Xenopus tropicalis: one gene and its partner. The protein of the gene in region 1 interacts with the protein of each later gene in a biochemical or structural test. Links are inferred from orthologs where the notes say so. Each region holds a gene or a part of one and is shown on either strand. Other genes may lie near its edges.

Region 1 (3,830 bases):
TCACCTAGAGTCTGTTTTGTAATCTTTGAGAAGATTTGATTTGAAAGATCTTTGTCTTTTTCAACCTCATCTACTATGTTGCTATCTTTGTATGATGTTTCAAGAATATGGAGTCAAAATAAATACAGAATACAAAATAATACATTAACAATTACTAAGCCTGTATGATAAATGAATATACTGTAACCCTATTGAGGGATAGCTGAAGCAGGACAATGGCGTGCAGACCTTTAGGGAATAAGGAGCTTCTTCCCGCAGGCCATACGAGCTCTCAATCATAACAACATCACATGGATCTAGGAACCATTGGGAGCTTCTGTCAAGGATTAAGTCTTTTTTTATTTTGCACACGTGGGACAATTGCACATTGCACTTTTCGCACACTGCGAAGTTGAACTGTAACTCTTGCACATTATCATGCCAACTATTTGGCCATGGTTCTACATTGCATTACATACATTTCAATTATTGCATTATTGTGTTCATTTATTTTATTCATTTTATTCTTTTTATTCTTAACTTCTTATATTCTATATTATTCCAATTTGAGGTCAATAATAGTAGTCATCTAAGCATTTCACTGCATATCATAATTGTATGACTGTGTATGTGACAAATAAAATTTGAATTTGAATTTGAATTTACTCAACTCATACATTGAACATTATTAGTGCAGAAAGAGAGAGGAATGGTCAGAAGAGGAGCTCGCGTACAACATGATGGATGTTCCCCTTCTAAATAATGCTACACTGCAGTCAATTCATATTACAGTACAATTTTCCTGTTTGTTCTTATCTCATGTGTCATTTAATATTGTATGTCATATTGTTGTTAGTATGTTGTGGAAAACATCATACGCTCTAGGATCTATGTACAAAAGATTTGTTAATATTTTTCAGCAAACAGCAACTGAGACAAATAGTCATCACGATATTACAATCTTTGTCATTATAATGGTAATAGAAACTTATTACCAGTTTTGCCCTAATGCAGTGTATTTGTACTATGCAACAAGGCTTAAACTAAACTCACCTCTACTTGAACCATCAGGCAACGCTGACGTCTCAGCTGCACAACATAGCCGTACACATCCACCCTACCCTCAGCTTCAAGGCCTTCAAGCATGGCATCAATGCTGACGTATGTTCCTGTACGTCCTACACCAGCACTGAAAAGTGAATAAATAGGGACATGTAATCAGTGCTTAGGTATGGTGCTGTACATCCTAAACAAGTACCGGAAGGGGAAACATTGAGATTAATTTGAGTGAGTATTAACATCCCTAATCTTAACCCTCCATATGAGTCAGAATCAGAATTAGTAAATTATATGCTGATAACAATAAAAATGTTTCTGTTTAAGGGACAAAACAACAGATACAGCAGCCATAGTTACTACTGCAGGCAAAAAAACAGCTGACTAATGGGCAGTTTCAATATATTTGTGTACAACAGGTTTTGCGCCCTAGGTTCCAAGTTCCTAGGTTCCCTAAAATAGTTTGCTGTGAGGCCCAGTATTGCCTCAGGAGTATTTGTCTTCAGGAGTCCAGCAACTAGGCATATGCAAACATAAGGCTTGCATTCAATCATTAACCCAAATGTGGATTTTGCACAAATCTTAGAGGCAGATTTACTAGAAATCTAACAACTGCAAAAGTCTACGGGAGAAAAGTTGCAAAAATCCTGAATTTTTCGACTTTTCACATGAAAACCACAACTTTTTCAATTTGTCGCACAAAAAAACAACATCAAAAATCCTTCATTGAAGCAAAAGAAGGACCATCTGCCATTGACTACATGACCTCGCCAAATTTTAGCTGGTGAATGGTTGTATTCGGATTTTTAGCCATTTGATAGTAAATTTCTAAATCTCGCAACTTTTTTGCCGTGACTTTTAGCGCTAAATATCTGAATTGGGAAAAAAATCAAACGGTTAGTAAATGGCCCCCTTATTGTTGGATGAAATTCGAGCAAACCCCCAAATCAGCCAAGAAAGGAAACTGAAGTAAGTGATACCTGCAATGAACAATGATTGGGCCACTAAAGAAATTGTTCAGTGCGTTAACCCTTCGACGTAGCTTGAGGAGCAGATTGGGGTCATCGGGAACCCCGTGATCTGGCCAGACGGTGAACTGGATGTGAGTCACATCTCTCTCAGATCTCTCCTTCTCCTGCAGAAAAGGAAAGATGGAATCAAGAGCAATTTATTAATCCAATTAAACAAAACAGACCTTGGATATCAGTCCATCAGATATAGTTGCAACTATAACATGAATTTTTCTAGCTGGATATATGTTTTATTATTTCCTAATATGCTAGCAGCCTAGCAGTCTGGTATGGTGACTTTGTATTGCAGCTTGGCCAATACATGCCGGAATACAGTTCCTATAGCTTTGTTGCCTTTCAATAAAATGTTTCAAAATAGACAGTGCCACTGGAATCTTAGGTGATGCTTGGTTGTACATAATTGTGTTTTGATTGCTTTATAATTTTTATATTTATTCAAACTGATATTGCTGCTGCCTAATTGCAAACTACTAAAAACAATTGTCACATTTGGATGATTTTACTCACGTTGTTGATGTGCAACTTCCGTGTAATGTAGTCAGGAAAGATTTTCTCCTCTGTGATTTTCAGAACAATCTCATTGTAAGTTGCAGATTCATCCTCCAGTGATGGCCAGTACTGAGCACATTTGTTCTGAAAATGAACAGATACAACATAGACTTTTATAGTGAATGCTTGTGTGGACAATAGCATGCATTTGGCAAATAAAGTGTGTGTTCACTAGTTCACACACAGAGAACACTGTGAGCACGTGTGCAGACTCTAATGCACATGTAAAGGTTTCTGCAATGTCCTCTGAATGCTCTCCTGTAATGTAAATCACTGGTAGGAAAACATATGTGTTGCTTCAACCAAAGTTTCCTCGCAAGGCAAATTCAGGTAACTTCAGAAAGCCGAAACAACTCATAAGTATTCAGAGGAGAACGCTAGAGGAGGTTAATCGTACGGCAACTAATCTCCTCCTGTGTCACTGGTCTAACGTTTCCCAGATTACCCCAGGAGCCACATCTAACATTTATGAAATGCTTAATAATAAGCAGCAAACTTTGCCTGAAAAATTAATAAGAAAAATCACTTTCCTATAATCACTTTCCTTGATGCGATTAGAACTTGGGGAAGGGTTTCTGTACCAGGTGGAACCTACTCAAAGCTGGTACTTATATCTACACAAAATACTGGATATTTTATACTGCTCCAACTAGTGTTAAATTAAAACTAAAAACATCAAAACCAACATGAATTTATTGGAATGTATAGTGGGATTGCTATGTACAGTATGTACTGTAACATTAGCAGAAATAGACAGTTTAACAAATGCCAAGCTTTGGCTTCCCTCCTGCATTGGGAAAAGTACTTTACTGCTCTGAGTTGCACTGCACATTTCATTTAGACAGGTTAAATGCAAGTTGTGTCTTTAAAACTCCCATCCAAATCCCCATTCCCCAATACAAATCACATGTGGGAGAAAAAATTAGACAAATTAATCATTTATCAACACTGGACAAGTTTGTGCTAGACAAATAATGCATTGCAACCAATCAATTAGTCACTTTTTTCAGCCAGTTACAGCTGAAAACAAAAATTTTGACTTGTTTGGCACAGGTTACTGTCCAGATGCAAATTTGCTCAGTGTTGAAAAATAAGTTCCAGTGCAATAAAACACTAACGCTGATGTCTACCATTTTTAACATTAATGCTTAACGTATGTGATTTTCATTTTGATTTTGCATTTACTCACCCGGTTCCCCTCTTCACAGCGTGTCA
Region 2 (3,830 bases), on another chromosome or scaffold:
GGGTTTACATGTCCTTTAAGTGCTCTGGTACAGAGATCCTGGTTACCACCATTGGGTAGGGCAGAGGCCATATAGTCTATAATTTCCTTTATTTTTCATTTAAGATGAGTTATCTTGTTTATCAGCTGAAATACGCATCATGTTCATAGTATGTTTGTGACCAAAGTCAAAGGATCACCTATTACTCTTTCTATTAAACCATATCTGCTGCTCAAGCTGGTTCTTTGCCCCTCCCTTCGTATGGTTATGCTGCCCAGTCAATTGCATGCTTATTTCCTGCTCTTGCTTCTCCCTTCAGCACTATTTCTGTCTTCTCCAAATTAAAATCATTATCTAAAATAGCAGCCAACAGCTGGGACTCAAATATTTCTCTTTGCCCCTGAAATGTCCAGCCAGTCTGGGGGAGGGGGTGATAATCATCCCTATCTCCTTCTTCTTTATGCAGCTGCGCTTATGAATGTCTGGGCCCTCTTGGGAGGCTCACTGCTGTGTATCAGGCTCTCCTCTAAATAACCACACACAGATGGGAGGGGTGATTATATATATATATATATATATATATATATATATATATATATATAATATATATATATATATATTATATAAATATATAATATTGTACATATGTCAGTGTGCATTTTTTTGTGCATATGCAAGGTATGACCAAGGTCAGGTAGTTTGACATAGTTACCCCTAGCAGCAGCCATAGTTTCATTCCTTTACATATATCTTTCAGTGCAGTGTTAGGCATATAAAATAACAACGAGGATCTGCAGCAGTCTGTTGTGTTAGAAATTTCAACTTAGAGGTTGAGAAGGGACAGTCAGGTTGACAACAGTCAGGTTTAGGAACTATACGCAACAATTACTTCCAATAGCAAACCTATGCAAAAAATGATCCACATGACAGTAACTTTTAATGCATATGAATATTTTGAAGAGAAGTTTTTAGTGATTATCACTTTAAGCCAAATTGGAGTCATTCCCTTTCAAGAACTCATCTTAAGCCAAGTTTTTTTCTTAACCAGCAACTATGAGAAGTATGGAGATCCTGTTTTAGTCCCCTGACCCTACATTCCTTCATCTGTCTACTACGAAGAAATCCCCCTTTGTAGAAATAACAAGGAACTCTCCTCAGCGTTTCATTTGCATGTGTCACTGAACTTTTCATTTTCACATACAAACACTTCCTGTTCTACATCTGGTAAAAAAGCCTAATTTTTATATTTGCTGCAAGTATTCTTTTCTTTTACCAAACTATCCTTTCCTTTTGCAAAACCTTCCTTTTCTGTTTCCGCCATTGCCCTGTGACACAAAAACGTCATTTTGTCCTTGACTTCTCTCACTTATTAACACCCTTTTTTAGGACTGCCCTATCCTTTTGACCTTCTTTGCACAGTGGGTACAGACTATGGCTCCATAGCTCACTGTCACTTTCTGCTTTCTCTCTCTACGGCACTTTTTCACTCTGCCCCACAACTTCTCTCCCCATTATTCCCTGCTGTTGCTCTCTCCTTGAGTTGCTGAAGCCCCCTATTTCTCAAGGGGGGCTTCAGCAACCTGTTATGTTACAGCAAAAACTATACACGTAGATTTTTTTCTGCACAAGCCCGATTCATTGAACTCATGTTAAACTTGTTCCTTTAAGAATGTGTGGGGTAAAAGTAATAACTTGGGTAGTACAAGGGTTGGTAGTTATAAATACTATAAAGAAAGAAGATCAATACATGTAAACTTTAGTACAGGGAAGAGGAGGAGATCCTTTCTTACAAGGTGATGGAATATGTCTTTGTTAGTGGCAAAACAGATTGTTGCTTTATTTGCTGGAAAAGAAAATATTCTGAAGCTTTCACAGTATGAAGGGATCTTTACCATCTTTACATGTTACTTTGTGGTAGAATTTTTTTACATTAAATCAAAGTTCTGACTGATATTTGTTTCTTTTTTTTAGGTCTGATGTTACTGTGTGAATTTTTCTCTCTCTGAGACTTTTCAGCATATATAGCCCCCAACATGTCAGTGGTGCAGGTAAGTTATACTGATAGCATCAAAACTTTACCCATTTACGCTCTTAGGGTCACACTGCACATGGTATATTTTCTTCCAGTGTTTTTCAACTGGCGGAGACCCACCAGATCTCAGACTTGCAGCACCTCACTTGTTTGACAGGCGGTTTCCGTTAAAGCTAATTACCGGCTATATGGTTGGATTCTGATGCTTTCCTTCTGCTCAAAAATGTAGCAGTATGCTACTTGTGCTATGAACCTATTCTACCAATTTCTTTTATGTATTTTCACATCTCCAGTAGCCCATGTTTAGAACAAATTTTTTGTAATCATAGTCACTAAAATGTTAACATTTTTAAAGATCATGCTTACTGCGATGAGACTTTAATTTAGCATTTTTCTGCTTCCCACTTCAAAGGCCCCTTGGCAAGCTGGCACAGAATGCATTGCTAACTATGACTTCCAGGGTAAAGCTGAGCAGGACCTGCATTTTAGTAAAGGTGAAGTGCTGACCATTGTGGCTGTGACAAAGGTAACAAATAAATATCTATTTTATGTGTGATCCGATAGTGCAAACAAACAATAGGCAGGATGTAGAAAATTTGATGGCCAACATACCATATATGCAGGTGCTGGCATTGGTGGTGAGACATGCTGATAACTGTAATTGTGCAAATGATGGAGCACAGACTCCTGTCCTAAATACTCTAAGCTTATTTTGTCATTTTCTATGTCTCTGTTCAGTTTAAAGAGGGTAAAATGAAGTTTTCTAAAATGTTACCGTTTCCCCAGTGAAGTAATGTATGTGAATATAAGTGACTGAGTAGAGCACATTTCCACACACCAGGAAGCTCATATCTTAGCAAGCAACCATGCAACTACGCCGGGGCTTTAGGCTTTTACTTAGTTTGTTAAGGGTCTAAACTGCCATACCCCCCCTCAAAACTTGCTCCATGCTGGAGAAAACAGGTATTGCACAGTTCTGTGAGTTGACCATAGCCTAAGGTAGATTGCTATGGCTCCTTGCTAAAGAATGCCAGGAAGCCATATTTTTTTTTTTATTCCTACACTATTTATATGTGCTACTGCAGAGTTCTCCATCCTTTTTTTTACCCATGAGCCACATTCAAATGAAAAAAGTTTGGGGAGCAACACAAACATGAAAAATGAACCTGGGGGTACCAAATAAGGGCTGTTATTGGTAGTCCCTATGTAGACTGGCAGCATATGGGATGCTCTGTTTGGCAGTACACATAGCCTTTATGCAACCAAAACTTGCCTCCAAGTCAGAAATTCAAAAATAACTACCTGCTTTGAGGCCACGGGGAGCGACATCCAAGGGGTTGGTGAGCAACATGGTGCTCCTTAGCCATTGGTTGGGGATCACTGTGCTACTGTGATATGTTTGTATGACTGCACATTAGGTCATTCATATTTCCACTTTCCCATATTCCCAGATTTTTGAAAGGAGCAAAATAGATAGACTGTGCAAAATAAAAATTGTTTTCAATATAGTTAGTTAGGCAAAAATGTAATCTGTAAGGGCTGGAGTGACCAGATGTCTAACATAATAGCCAGAACTTTACTTCCTCCTTTACAGCTCTCTAAATTGTTAGCAGTCATTACCAATCAGTAACTTGAGGGGGGGCATATGGAACATAACTGGTCAGTTATTTTGCATTTGAATCTGACCTGAGTGCTCACAAACTAACTCAATAGTTATACCCCATGTGGCCCCCTAAAATCACTGACTATCTAAGAGGTTAGAGAGATGAAATCAGGAAGTAGGAGGAGTTCTGGCTATTATGTTAGACATTGGCCCTCT

What was found.
Region 2: of the proteins of ptprc (region 1) and csk, one has a biochemical effect on the other in vitro, tested with the Homo sapiens proteins (2 studies listed by IntAct). The link is inferred for Xenopus tropicalis from reciprocal best matches to the Homo sapiens genes PTPRC and CSK.

What each region holds. Positions count from the first base shown.
Region 1 is NC_030680.2:111,375,882-111,379,711, reverse strand, and holds part of ptprc (receptor-type tyrosine-protein phosphatase C), read right to left. Parts: coding exon 3,805-3,830; intron 2,700-3,804; coding exon 2,574-2,699; intron 2,171-2,573; coding exon 2,016-2,170; intron 1,169-2,015; coding exon 1,033-1,168; intron 1-1,032. UniProt on the Homo sapiens protein: Protein tyrosine-protein phosphatase required for T-cell activation through the antigen receptor. Acts as a positive regulator of T-cell coactivation upon binding to DPP4.
Region 2 is NC_030679.2:94,060,194-94,064,023, reverse strand, and holds part of csk (tyrosine-protein kinase CSK), read left to right. Parts: intron 1-1,950; 5' UTR 1,951-2,012; coding exon 2,013-2,027; intron 2,028-2,423; coding exon 2,424-2,537; intron 2,538-3,830. UniProt on the Homo sapiens protein: Non-receptor tyrosine-protein kinase that plays an important role in the regulation of cell growth, differentiation, migration and immune response.